Lonchura striata: one gene and its partner. The main gene of each other region encodes a partner of the protein of the gene in region 2 in a complex. Links are inferred from orthologs where the notes say so. Each region holds a gene or a part of one and is shown on either strand. Other genes may lie near its edges.

Evidence for each region. The genes of interacting proteins can lie anywhere in the genome.
Region 1: the proteins of LMOD2 (region 2) and uncharacterized protein LOC110483956 are in contact, whole or in part, in an NMR structure (PDB 6UT2), measured with the Homo sapiens proteins. The link is inferred for Lonchura striata from reciprocal best matches to the Homo sapiens genes LMOD2 and TPM1. Residues at the interface, in NP_997046.1 of Homo sapiens: Lys12, Tyr13, Leu21, Leu22, Leu25, Glu29, Glu32, Leu33, Arg35, Glu36, Leu37, Asp39, Ile40, Glu41; in NP_001018005.1 of Homo sapiens: Met1, Ile4, Lys5, Met8, Gln9, Met10, Leu11, Lys12, Asp14.

The regions. Positions count from the first base shown.
Region 1 is NC_134613.1:7,964,041-7,971,470, forward strand, and holds the start of uncharacterized protein LOC110483956, read right to left. Parts: upstream 3,080-7,430; 5' UTR 2,873-3,079; coding exon 2,759-2,872; intron 1,825-2,758; coding exon 1,699-1,824; intron 1-1,698. UniProt on the Homo sapiens protein: Binds to actin filaments in muscle and non-muscle cells. Plays a central role, in association with the troponin complex, in the calcium dependent regulation of vertebrate striated muscle contraction.
Region 2 is NC_134607.1:31,822,753-31,830,043, reverse strand, and holds the start of LMOD2 (leiomodin-2), read left to right. Parts: upstream 1-4,244; 5' UTR 4,245-4,347; coding exon 4,348-4,620; intron 4,621-7,291. UniProt on the Homo sapiens protein: Mediates nucleation of actin filaments and thereby promotes actin polymerization. Plays a role in the regulation of actin filament length. Required for normal sarcomere organization in the heart, and for normal heart function.

The DNA.
Region 1 (7,430 bases), on a different chromosome or scaffold from region 2:
CGACATCCCTCTCTGCCTCTGACCTTTTCCAAAGGCTCGGAATTATCCAAACTAATAAGGTAAATATTGGGTCAACTGCAATGCCCCAAATATACTCTTCATTGCCAAAAAAAAATCCCTAAACTGTCAAGACATACTCCATACATACAAATAAATAACGTATTTACCTCGAAGAAAACATGCCAGACACTCTCCCACCCTCCACCTCAATTAAATAAAATTACCCTCAACTAGCTTCGAAACACTGTTTTCCAGCAGGGGCAGGAGGCATGGGGATCAGTTAGGAACATCCTTAGTTTCAGAACAGGAATCTAGTAGCATTTCTCCTGCCTTCATCTTAGGCAAGCTATTTCCAAATAGTCTGCATACTTTTCCATATAAGGAATATCTCCCTTGGATCTATATGCGGCTCCTTTGAACAAGCTAAATAAATGTCCTGCTAGGAAGCTGCCTCTCCTATGGCAGCCTGCACAGAGCAGACATCTGATCCACATTATACACGGATCCCTCTCCCTTGTTCCTTTGAACACTTCTGTTTGTTAAGTTCTTGGGTTCTCTTTCAAAACTATATATCTTAGTTGCCATACTGAAGCTAAATCTTTTCTTTCTTTATTCCTTTTAGAAATAAAATAAGATAAAAGCATATTGTCTTCTATGCAAAGTTGTTGTTTGTAACGTTTCCATTTTTGAAAGTATCCTTCCTACCCCTGAAATACTTTGCTTGCTTCACTTGAGGCAACTCCTTTTCATTTTGGCTTTGAGGTTGGCTTTTAGAGCTGAGCTATAGGAAAAGGAGGGTCATTGCTTTGGAAATACTGCAGTTTCATCTAATCCTGTAATTCAGACCTGAGATTTACTCAAGGAGAATTAAATTGTCCAACAGCAGCAATAGAGACCAAGACCTTAACTGCACAGACTATACTCTTATGGTTCCATGCATGCGATCCATTAAATGCATGTCAGGAACAGACAGGTGGGTGGGATGAGGGCCTGGGAGAGGCACAAGCTCTTGCCTTATTACCATATAAAGTGCTGAGCTATATATATCTCTCAACTTGCTCCCAGGATCCCTGTCCTATGAACTGCAAAACTAGCAAGTATCATCTTCCAGACATTTTTCTGTCACACAAGACAACTTTTCTTTGACAAGTGAAGCAGTTCCACTGATTCCAAGGGAGGGGGGAGGCGGGGGGAAGCAGGAGAGAACCTTTTATCTCAGGGGCCAGTGAGCCAAGCCAGTATCTACCAGCAGTTCTAACACATGCATACCTAGCAACAGCTGTCTTGAAAACAGAACTAGCAGTCCTTGCTCTTCTGGATCTCCCTCTCCTGCACCTACTCACTATTAACTCTCTGCTTCTGTTTCACTGTCAAGACAGTGTTGTTCCAGCCTGAGCCGTTTTACCCATCATCTGAATAGATAAATCACCATTTCTTTACTTTCACATCTCGAGTGGCAAGTACACATAAAAAGCACACATCAAGTGAGCAAAAACCAAATCAGACGCCTCTGATAGTGTGCAAACCTCATGCAGGGAGGCAGTGCTGTGTTTCCCACCTCCCTGTCCAGGAGGTGCCTGGACTCTGCCTTCAGCAAAGCTTTGCAGTGCTGCTGAGTAGGAGTCCAGGCTGTCCTGAGCAGAGGGAGTGTGTGGTTTCTCTTTCGGGCTTGTGGCGAAAGGGATGGGGGTAACTTACATCTGTGGCCTTTTTGTCAGCCAGTTCCAACTTTTCCTGTGCATCTTTAAGGGACTCGGAGTATTTGTCCAGCTCATCCTCAGTGGCCTTCAGCTTCTTTTGTAGAGCCACCAGCTCGTCCTCCAGCTGTGATATGGGTGGAAAGTGGTGGAGAGGGGAGGGCGGGCAGGAAAAGGTGCAGCAGGCAGCGTGATCGTGCAAACGGAGAGGTGTGAGTGCAGAAGAGACAGAAAAGGACAGACAGAGAGAGAAAGAAGGAGAGACAGTTAGATCCTCTTTGCTTGCAGCAAGGGCACAATACCTTGGCAGCATTCTCCTCTGCGGAGAGGAGGCTGTCCTCAGACTTGTGTAGCTCTTCCAGCACTTGGTCCCTTGTATCCTCCGTCCCACGCAATTGCTTTTCCAATTGCACAATGTCATCCTCTAACTAGGTGCACAAGAGGAAATATAATGCACAAGTATGTTTCTCCCTTGGCTTAGAAAACTGTGAAACTAATTTATAAATCACTCTTCCTTTCTCCCTCCTCCTTCAGGATCTCCTAGAAACGTGCAATCGATGCACCCCCCTCCCCGAATCGAGAAGTCCCAGGGGGGTTGAAGAAGGACAAAAAGGTGGGGCATGCGTCCGGAGAAGGGTGGGAGGGCAGCTGGAATCGGACACATCTGCTGAGGGATGATGGAGTGGGCAAACACAGCTTTAACTGTCCTTTGCCAAATCGCCGCACATCTGTCCAGTGCTAATCAGGCGTTCTGGGCAGCCTCCCTAAGCCGTCCCCCTGTGACAAAGGCACAGAGGCCACGCAGCCGTCCCGAGGCCCTGCTCCCTAGCTGGAATGGTGGGGAATGGTTCCCGCCGCGCCCCCGGGAACCTCCAGCCGGTGGCTGCCAGGCTGAAGCTCTGCCTTAGGGAAAGTTCAACCAGTTCTGCAGGGGCGCGGGGCTGCAATATAACAAAGTATGGTGACGGGGGAAGAATAGGGGAGGAGGTAAAAAAAAAAAGAGAATAGTCTGGAAAGATTTGCGCCCCGGCGCTCGCTGCGCCCGGGCCCTCGGTGCAGACCTGCTTGCTTCTCTCCTCCGCTGCCTTCTTGTCCGCTTCGGCTTGCTCGGCTCTGTCCAAGGCGTTCTCCTTGTCCAGCTTCAGCATCTGCATCTTCTTCTTGATGGCATCCATGGTGGCGGTGGGCTAGAGCGCGTCCCCGTGCGAACTGCTTCCGAAAGAAAAACTTTAAAAGTTGCGGGACAGCCCCGAGTCCGGACGCAGGCCCCCGGGGGAGCGGAGTGCAGCTGCCGGGCGGCGGGGTTGATCCGTGCGGGACGGGGCACAGCCGAATGCAAGCGGCGGGCAGGGAGCGCCTCACAGATATGTACTTTCCCAGGGGGCTGACTGCATTCCTCAAGACATCCAATACTTTTTTGGAAAGGGCTTCTTTTCTTCCCTCCCTCCCTCCTCCTTTCGTCCCTACCCCTTTCCCTCTCTCACTGCCCCCGGGTTTTTTTTGGGAGGCACAGCCTTCCCATTCGCTGCCGCCTGCCATTTGACCGCAGATATGACTATATATGGGATGCGATGGGCGAGGTAAGGCGGGGGAGCAATTTGTTCCCATTTCTAAATAGGCAGGACGGGACATTTCGCTGCTACTCCCGGGAGGGGAAAAAAAAAAAAAAAAAAAAGGCAGCAAGACGGAGCGAGGGGAGCTGAAGAGACGGGCGCGAAGGCTGCTCGCAGCGGGCAGGGTGTCTGGGTGACACCGGCCCCACGCGGGAGCCGTCCCCACCCGTGGAAATCAATCTGTTCTACAGCAGGAGGGTGGCGGAGCCGATCGCATCAGGCGGCAGGGGAAGGCGGGCCTGCGGGGCACGGGGGTTTGCAGGACGGGCAGTAGGGGGTTAATCGCATGCACGTACGGAATGAATGCGTTCCGAGACCTCCCCCCGGCAGCCGGAGGAGCAGAGGAGGAGGGGGCACCTCTCCTCAACAGCCGGGCCGCAGCAAATGTGCCCATGCAGAGCCGGGCACGAAGCCCGGCCTTTGGGATGAGACCCGGGCAGGGCTGGCCTTCCGCCGGGACCCACACCGAGGGGAAGGGGCCGAGCAGTGCCGGGACAGGGCAGAGGTGCCAGCGGCTGCCCGTGCTTCCGAAGTGCACCGCTCTCCTCTGCAGTACCTGGCCGGGGCTCCTGGCCCTGCAGGGAGATGCGCCTCGGTACTGCGCGCTCAAGGGCGCAAGGAGGAACAGAAAAGGCGGACGGGAGCTACTGCGACCCTCAGCGGGAGCAGTGGGAAACCTGCCCTGCCGGGGGTATCCAGAGCTGCGAGGGAAGGAGCCCAGGAATAGCTGGGGCAGGGAATCTAGCTACAGACGTGACTTGCACCCTTTCGTAATGCCAGTGAGGGACAGCAACAGATAGACAATTAACAAAATTGCATATAATTAAGTGAAGACCTATTTAATTCACTTCTGGCGTGTCTCTCACAGTCTCATCAGCAGAGTGAGCAAGACACGACACGTCCTCAGGACGCACGCTCCCTTGTACAGCGTAGAAAGTACAGGGATGTGCATAAGTCCCACAGGATGTGGGTTGCACAAAGAGAAAATTAGGCAGCCTTTGTCTACACTCAATACTTGTAGCAGAAAATTCCTCCGTGGTGCTGTCACTGGATCAGCTGAACTGATGTGACTTTGCAGGAGGAGGGAATGTCCTACAACTTCTGGCCCATGGTGCTTATCAGGGCAGTTAAGGGCTTGATTTGCCGAGCAGACCTTGGAGGCCAGTTCCTGGAGAGCTTAAACAAAGCTTCAGCTCTACAAGATAGCAAAGCCCCCTGATGAAGACCAACAGTTACAATCCCCAGGTCCTCAGAAAGGCCATAATCTGAATTAACCTAGGAACTATACAAAATTCAGAGGCTCACAACTTGGAATGGGGATTCATGTGTGCTGCTCCTAGGGAGCAGAAGTCCACTGTTAAAATAGCTTTCCTTATGCCTACTTAAAGAAAAGACATTTATCACTGCAGTCCTTTCTCACTCCATTGATTTAATAACCAAGCTAGTACAACAGTAAAAATTATTGAGTAAAACATTGCACTATCACAGAATGTTTTAAAACACAAGAGTATTAAAAAAGTACAGATTTAGTCACAACCAACTCTAAAGTGTAGTTTTTCTCTTTGCACTTACTTTGATTTCACACTACAGTCAGTAAAGATTAGGGCCTTTCTGAAATAAGTATAGTGAATATTTAAAAGATACCTAGTTACATATTGTTCAACAACCTGACGTCTTTGTTAAATGTATCAGTATGTTTTAACCCTAGTTTAGGAGAACATTTTCCTCTGCCTTAAAAAACATAGAGTATCATTGTTGGGAATTCACTGAGGTAGCTCTTCTCACTTTGGGGAAATAAAATATCTTGCGAAATTAAGCAAACAGCTGTCTGGCTAATTTGGGAGGGGTGCACAGGCTCTTAAAAGAATGCCTGTGCAGCTCCTGTTTGAGTTTTCTGAAAGAATATTAGTCACGACATGGGAGCCTCTAGGATACAGAAGAAAGTATGAGATACAGGTAGAAGGAACACAAAGTTTAAAAAAAATACCTGCAGGATGGTATCACCTCCACAGGAAAAAAAAAACCAAAAAACATTGAGGTTCTACTTACATGAAAATGTGCAGTTAATAAGTTTGTTTATAGCAAGATGACCTGTATCCAAGGGGCTGAACTGGCTGATGTTGATTTAATTTTTGTTTTCCTCCTGGAGAGAATATGAAAAGTACAGACATGTGTTAACATGCTTGCTATACCTTTCATTAACAATTTCAATTACTTGGAAACTTCTGTTCCAGCTGGCCAAGAAAGATAGGCTTAGAAATTAAATAGCTTGTATAGTCTCTCCCTCTTTAATTGATATGTGAAGACAGATTGTATGCAAATTATTTTTAATTACTGAAAGAAGAAGGCAGCACAAACTTTGCTTTTATGACATAGTACAAATTCTCTATTACTTGTCACCTCTTTTTTCAGCACAATGGCTTGGCTCATCTCATCAATAAATGGTGCAGGAACTCCCTAGCAATAGTTTCACTTTCTTCTGGGGAATACCTACTGAACTATTTTTGAATTCTGTTAATTTAACTGGGCTCTTCAGAAAATCAAGACAGCAAACTCAAAGCACCAAGAAAGGATACCTGGTTTTAAAATTTACAACTCCTTCTGTGAGCAGGTGATGCCACAATTCAGGCTTACTGACAGTACAATACAGAGTAAGGCTGGGACTTGTTTATATAATGATGTTTCTGTCATGTCACCTATCCCTTGACATGGGCAGAAATTTGCCTTGAGGAGGATCTGCTCTTCGAGCATAGATGGGGTTGGTCATAGGGGGTTGATTCTGGTAACAGACAAAAGGGTAGGTGGACATAATCACTTGGAAAAATTTCAAACAATGCCTTTGGAGTTGCTTTACCTACTTACTCTTCTCCTGGGTCTCTTTTTGCTTTGGGTTGTGGGTTGGGGTTTTTTTGTGTGGGTCTTTTTTTTTTTTTTTTTTTTTTTTTTTTTAGGAATATACAGGAAATGACACCTAACAACTGGTTCTGCCAGTTCTATAAAACATGCCTCCTAAAAAACTAGTAAGGATTCAAGTTAGGTCAGTCAGAGTGAACTCACAGGCCTGTATGTCATTTGAAAAGTGTAGTGTTCCCTCACATGGAGGCAAATATAAATGAAATATAAACCAATTTCTCAAAGGTCTCTGAGACCTCTGCTGCCCTTGTAAAACAGCAATGTTCCTTTTGGATAAAGGGAGCCAACAATATGAGTGTAGGATATTATAAGAAAATAGGAAATTGAAAACATCTGTATTCACCTAGAAAAACAAATAAAATAATACTGATGAAATCAGGTAGGTTTTACTAGTACAGTCAGTGTATTTTATCCTGTAAGGATCTCCAAGAGCTTTGCACTAAAAAAATTGAGGGACAATATTTCTGAAAGAAGCATAAAAAGGGCAAATTTCTCCTGGGGAAATTGGTCATCTATGCTTCAGCCATAAGGGGAGAGAAAGCCCTAAAACAGAAGGTAGGAATCCCAATGGCCAGTGCTCTGCACAGCTCAGTAGGCAGCAAACAAGTACAGAAATACTCCAGAACATGCCAGTCATGCTTAATTCATGCTGTAACTCTGTAAAAGGTTTTCAGTACCATTTCCTAGGTAATGGTGGAGAACAGTTTAGCTTTTGTGATTAAGAACTATGAGATGATTTGTTGGAAAATTAAGATTTAAATTATTTTAATAATTTTCCTCTTCTGAACTAATGTTTCTGTTTGGCTTGTCATTCAAGAAATTAGTGAACTCCTTAAGTAAAAATGTATTTATAGCACAGTCTTCTGCACCTGCCCTGATCTATAATCTGAGGGTCTACTCAGATACCACACCAAATGCTAAGAAGCACATGACCTAACTCATGACCTAAGATCTTAAAATAGCTCTGAGAAGGTCTTTTTTATTTTTTCCCTAAGACTCCTTTCACTCTAATTGCACTACTGTTATTTGCTAGATTTCAGCTGAGCAAACATGTCTCCCAAGTTTTTGTATTATGCTTTCTTTTAAAATCAGATTTGCTTTAGCTGGTAGTTAGGAGTTACTAATGTCATTCTCTGAAAAACATCTACAAAAAACAAGTAACAGAAAGACAAAACCCAAATTTCACTCTTGGTATGATGTTTTTCTA
Region 2 (7,291 bases):
TTCTGCTAAGGGGCGAGCACCACCTGCCACATGTTGCTCATGGCCTTTAAGCAATTGAGCCAATGTGCCTCAAGTGTAGAAACATGAGAAGCAGAACAGAGTTCCCATAGCTGCTGATTGAAGTAGTTAACTGCTTGGAAAGGCAAAAAGGACACTTAGAAGGGTTTCCTCTTGTAAAACCAAGACAATAATTGATCTTTCCTCAAGGTTATGAAAGATGGAAAGTCTTCTCTGAAATCTAGCTGCTGAAAGCCAGGAACTCTGGCTGCCAAGGTCTACAATGATAGAGTGAATCCTCCTCCTATAAAATGGATGCTTCCAGTTCTCATTTTCTCTCAGCTCAGGTTCTGAAGTGAACAAAGCTTTTAATAATTCTGTTGAATGAGAGGTGAGTTTTCATGCCTGTTGGTGAAATGGTTAATTCCCTGCATACAGGATTTCAGCAGGGCATTAGGGATAAGAGTTTGGGTTTTCTGTTAGGAGTTGGCAAAGCACTTCATCAAATCATCACAAAGATCTTTTAGGTCATCAAGTTCACATATTAACCTAACACTGCTGAGACCACAACTAAACTGTGTTCCTAAATGCCACATCTACACATATTTTCAATACATGCAGGGATGGTGACTCAGTTATGGACACCTGTTCCAATACTTAACAACCCCTTCCATGAAGAGATTTTTCCTAATGTCTAATTGTAGGATGCATCCTGAACAGCAGTCAATGTAGCCACTATAAATCTGCCCTCCTGTACTACATATGGTTCATACTCTACTCACTGCCTCCTGTGATGGAAGGAAGTTAGTTCCCTGTGCCACCTCACTAGCACACAATGGACTCTTCCTAAACTGTTTATAATGGTGTTATTGAGAACACAGCCAGGGAGATAGAACACTTTGCTCAGACTTCTGGGTTTTTTGCTTGTTTGTTTTTTGTTTTTTTTTTTTCAAAAATCAAAGTATGTGTAGTGCCTGAGAAAGGAGACTATGAAACAGGAACAAATGTTTGAAGTAAGAATGTTAATAACAAGAAAACACAATCACTTCTGTCTGCTCTGAGTTCCTCTAGGAAGTTAGAACCTATGATATGGAATGTTGTAAGGGTGGGAAGTTTCAGCCATGGCTGATGCCCACTGCAGTGGAAATGCTTGCATAATGCCAAATACTGCCAGAAAGGGAATCCAAAATTCCAAATTAGTGGGTACTTTCATGACAATTAAGATAATTGATAGCTTTACTATGCTGAAGAACAGGGGCAAAATAAAATGCTGAAAGGCTTTTAATGCGTGTGTGATCTTTCCCATGGAATGAAAAAGAGTAAAGGTTCTAAGTAAAGATTCTGAGCACTCATGTGTCTAGGATCAAAGTATATGATTACAGATCTATGGACTGTGTTTCAGTGCTCATCAGGAGGCAACAACAAATTTTCTGACCTCTCAGTACTTGTCTTAACAGTTTTAGCATCTTTTTTTTTCCTCTGTGTGTAATTTGCCATATGCTACAGCCTTATTATTTTTATTAAAATTGTCCTAGAAAGCATTCATGGCTCTTCACTTTGGCCATTCCCCTGTAGAGAATAGGTTCTAAAATGCCACAAGTGCCATATAGGATCAAGAAGGGACACAAACCTCTCATAACCTCACAACCTCACCTGACTGACAATTTTCCCCCTGCTTCAGGGGAGAAATGTACAAGAAATTACCTTGTCCATCATTAGTAATGCCTTTTTCTTATCTCATGGCTAGAATGGACATAATTGGCATTTTGTGTAGAAAAAATATCACCAGTGTGGAGAGTAGCATTGAAGGTAATATTCATGTTATTTATTATTCCTTTAGAATATTATTTTAAAAATGAAAAATACATGCTGTTTTTTTAAAGTTTCTTTGAGTTTGGAAAATTTGGTTTATACATAGAAAACTTCGAATAGACAATTCAGGTATCTTGTATAATGGGCTCTCAGCTCAGGAAAATTGAAAAACTTACAAATTTTGTTGTACCTGACAAAAAAAGGAAGAACAAAAAGCTGACCTTTTTTCTGGGAAACAGTATATTTGACTAGATTTATTTTTTAACAACATATTTTTGCTTTTAATATTGTACACATCAGTGTTGTACATATCTACATTGTACTAATAAAATATAGCATATTTAGAAAAGCATTTCAGTTTCAATCAGCATTTTCCAACAGAAAATCTGTTCAGTTCACATTTCCCAACTCCATCCAAAAAATATTTGCAACAAAATGTTGTCAGCAAAAATGCACTCAAGAAATATAACTTTGTTGTGCTGCTTCTCTGGCTAATTCCAATGATAACAATGTGAACTTTTGTCCTAGACATATTAAAGAAATAAAATTACTTGGAGTGCAGCTATATACAGATAATTAAAGCCTATGCCAGCTCTACCAAAAAGCATTGATAATGCTGAATTAAAAGAAAAAAGGAACTTATTATATTTTCCTAGTCTTTCAGAAGATTCGTTTCAGAATTTGGCCCAGGCTTCATTCTGCAAGGGCAGCTGAGAGAGTGAACAGAACTCCTATGGATGTCCTGACCTGTCTATGTGTACTTGGCCCATCATGGGACTGAATACCATGAAGGTATAAGGTTGAAGGTAACACTTGTAACTCCATAAGCCAAGCATCTGCCTCCTTTTTATTTTATCCAAGATTCTGTCAATGTAAATGAGCTGTAAATATTTATTTTATATTAAGGTGTAGAATATTCTTATATCTGCTTTATTAATGTATTTTGTAGGTTAGGAAAGACTAAGGTTATAAGCTTTCATACCATTTCTTGATCAAGATGACTGCATGAAGTTCATATAGACAAATTATCAAAGAAAAAATATAATTTCTTTGAGCATGATTTTCATAAAGATTTGATAATCTCATCTCTCTACTGTCAGTAAAGCTGTATGCATAATAATGAAACTAAATGAGCAATTTGGCTAAACAACATACCTCAGTTCAGGTGTCAAATCCATACTGACAAAAGAGATGATGTCAGAAAAGAACAATACTTCAGATTATGTTTACTTACATTTCTATTAAATATTGGCTTGACTGTCTAAGACACACTGTGTGTTATCATTTGAGGTTGATACATGTTGTTCTAGATGTGTTCCTACTTCCATGCACCAAAACCTTCTCTCTTCCTTTGCCCCCGCCCCTCACAACACAGGTTGGCAGCTATTGGTGGCCATCATGTTTCAGAAGATGTTGCTAGTTCATCATCATTCACTGCTAGATAGAAAAAAAGAAAAACCCACATCAGAAAAACAAACAATAAACAGCACAAAGTTTACACTTTCTTTTTTTAAGTCTTCTTGCTGAAGGATGCCTGTCAACAAAAATAAAATCAGAATAATTTATAATCTATTAGAAGAAACTATAATGTAGCTATACATTTAGAATAAAGACTTGAAGGCTCTCTCCAGGTGCACATCAGTCAGTGGCAGTGAGCAATAGCCATTAAAAGAATAGCCACTAGAGGCTTTCAGTTGCTCGGCCTGTCAGAAGTGATGAAGGAGCAGCCCCCCTGCCCACCCAGGGCTTGTTACCCTTAAATCTCTGGGTGACTGTCCTTTTCCTCCAGCAGAGCACAGTTCTCCATGTGAAAAAAAAAATCTCACCGGTGCTCCAAATGGACATGAATAGCTGATTCACACTCTGATAGTCCTAGAAAAAATAAGGGAATGAATAAAAAATTAAATGGTGTGATTTGTTACAAGCAATGTGTGACACTGCGGGAGCAGTGCTCCCCACAGCTGCTGGCATGCTGGCCTCCTCCCCTTGGCTGCCTTTCCGCTGATCCCAACCTCCTGCAAACACCTTGGTGGGATAACAGCATTCCACTAGAAAACTGTGAGAGGAAGTCCACTGAACAACGGCAAGGGTGTTTTATTTCCAGCCCTGTGACAACTCAGGATTAAATGGATTTTCATTGTTCTTTCCTTGCTGCAATTTGGATTTGATGCCAGTGTAAGTGCACCCGGGGTTTTATTTGGTGCCGCCCCCCCGTCTGCGAGGCTGGTATTCTCCCACTAGCTGCCTGCTCTAAATATGGCCATGGCCAGTGTGTCAATAATCCCCCTCTTTAAGGGACTTGCAAACATTAGTGTTGGGACATTCTTGCTGTTCAGATGTCTAGCTGACGTCTGATGCTTAAAACGGAGCATGCTTTCATCCCTTCATGCATTGTCGTAAGCCCCGATGATTACTCTTAAAAGGGTGCCTCTGGCTATGCAGGGAAACAGTTGCTGACCACACGAGACAGCCTGCTTGCTTCAGCCTTCTTGAATGCCTGGTCACTGTAGCTTTGTACCAGCCTGACCAAGCAGGACCATGTCTACCTTTGGGTATAGAAGAGAGCTGAGTAAATATGAAGACATTGATGAAGATGAGCTCCTGGCTTCTCTCACTGAAGAGGAGCTGAAAGAGCTGGAGCGGGAGCTAGAGGACATAGAGCCCGACCGTAACCTTCCAGTGGGGCAGCGGCAGAAGAGCCTGACAGAGAAAACACCAACAGGGACTTTCAGCAGGGAAGCACTGATGGCCTACTGGGAGAGGGAGACCAAGAAACTCCTAGAAAAAGAGAGGTTGGGTGCATGCGAGAAGGTAAGATGCTGAGGCATTTGCTGTTTCCTATAGGTATTTGGTTTTATTCTGCATTGGCATGATCTCACTGACTGATTTAATTTCTTTCAGTTTCTTGTAGCATTTTTAAAAACATTGTTAGGCATACCTCTGTGCCTGCTAAAGTGCTGAGTATTTGCTCAGAGGATGTTTATTCTCTCTGAAAGTACCTTAAGTGCTCTGTTCAGAACAGAAGAAAGTGCTACAAAAACTATCATTAGTGATTAAAATAGGGAAAAAATTAAAGGGCATGTTAGAAATTATTAATAGCTAGAGATGTGGTCTTTTGGATAGCACTCGATTTTTTAAGAAAGCTACGCAAAATGCCTTTCCTTAAAAACCAGCCAGTATTGACTGCTGAGAAACATGTAAGGAAGATAATTTTGAATACATGTTATGTCAGAAGTTGAGTAAGCGGATGCCAGGCTTTGTGCTCGCTGGAAGAAAGCATCTTGTATTGCAGTCAGCAGCTTGTGTTGCTTTGTTCCTGCTGAGGATCCTTGGCATGGTTCAGGAGTCTTCTGGCAACTGTAGTCAGAGGGCAGCTGTACATTATTTAAAAGGTGGCCTGGGATACAATCATCAGTCAAACCATTTAACTGCATTCTCAAAAAAACAACCAATACTTTTTGTTAGGCAACTCATCCCCAAAAATAAAAATGTTAGTAATAAAAGCCATTTCCTGAACTGCAAACAAGCAGTACAGCTGGGCAGGAGTGAAGGTCTGAGTCTTGGCAAGCAGTGAGCACACTCAGACTCAGCTGATATCCATGTTGGCACTCCTAATTCTTGCTAAAAGAGTATGTGAGACTGAGCCCAACCAAAAAGCAACTTCTATCTTCATGATGGCTCCATGTAATTTCAAAACAAAGTGGGGACTTGGGGATTTTTAAGCACTGCTTCATACCAAGCTTTTACTGTGTTTATAGGGACACGTTTTCCCATGTTTAAGCAGAAAGTAATACAACAGAGGCAAAGACAGCAAAACTGAACTCAGAACCTCTAACAGCCTTGATGCAGGAGCTTATTTAATTTACAAGGAAATAATTGCAGTTTATACATTAGATAAAATATCATCCTAGAGGAAAGTCAGAGAGATTAAATTGCCCTGCAATATGCAGGATGTTTTTACGTGTAAGTATTTTCTCTTGTTCATGAATGGTGGTATAAGGTCTTTGCAGGCAAGAGCACAGTAGCTGTCATCAGACCATTAGTATCAGCTTGCAGACATAGACTTCACTCCCTGTTTGTCAGTCCTAGAGAGTAAATGGCAAGATTAATGTTTATTTCCAGCTTAGCCTGGAACTTGAAACCTGGGCACTTCTAAAAAACTGCTGAACAGGTCTACTTCAGTATCTCATACAATGGCAGGATCTTTCTTTTTCTTTTGTTTTTCCATGTATATACAGCATTAATGGGTACTGGCTAAAACTCCAAGTCCTGGCAAAAGACTATACTTTTTGATCTGAGAAAAAACTTCCAAAATGCAAGTTGATATGCTGATATAGAGGTCACAAAGACTCTCTCCACTGATGGCAATGAGAAAGGTCCTTGAAAACAATATTCTTCTTGCTTTCAACTGTCTAGAAATTATGCACCTTTATCTAAGATGGCTATTCACGCTTGTTCTATAGTTAGTGGTGACAGATCAGCTGGTGCAAAAGGCAAACAACTTGCAGATAGCCTTTTAGGGTTAATAACTTGTCCTCCCAAGATATTTACCTCTGCATTGACTCTCTTAGTCCTGACTTTTCATCATACTACTCCCACAAAGTAAGGTGAAGCCCTACAGGTTGCCTGCATCAGTCTTGTACCACAGTGCTGCTACAGTAAGAATATGTCTCTGTATTCAATTTCAAAATTATAATGCAGATTGTTATGACACCAGATGATGTACATGACAGGCAACTAAATTCTGCCTTTGACCTCAGAAATGCCACTCAAAAAAAAAGTAGGTTTTTATTAATTTAACATCACTAAACATATCAAGAGTGAATTTAAAGGCACCTCCTTCTGCTCATCTGTAGTATATATTCCTCAAGATATAAAACCAAAGGCATGAAGACAGGGTTTTGGATACCTGGTGTTTTCAAGTCTTAAAGCCCTACACATATATAGAAGATACAGATATAAATCTTAATCCCATAATAAACCTATAGGTAGCACAGTATCTCTCAGCATAAGTGCCTTGCTGCAGGAGAAGCAATAGGACTGAGTCCTACAAGATCTCTGTGTGCAGGACAATGCAGTCAGACCCTGCAAGACCCCAAGATACTGAATGCTCAGGAACATCAGGCAGAAACAACTCCATGTCCTGTTTCATTAAGAGTCACAGTTCTGCAAACATTACAATTAGCATTTTTTTTGCATATTTCGCAGCACCGAATTCTGCTGAAAACTGTGAGACAGTACTCTGCATTTTAACAGTTCTCTATTTTCAGAGCCAGATAACTAAGCAAACCTAAAACTGCACAGGTTGTCTAAAAATAGGCTGTCCTGTTAGCAACACTTCTGTTTTCCAGAAACAGAATCACTGTGTCTCTGCAGAGTGTACTCACTTTGGAAAATACAATCTAGTATTTTACAGAGATTAAAACATAAGTACTGCTAAAGTAGTGCATACAGAACACTTATAATTCATCCAAAGTTTTAT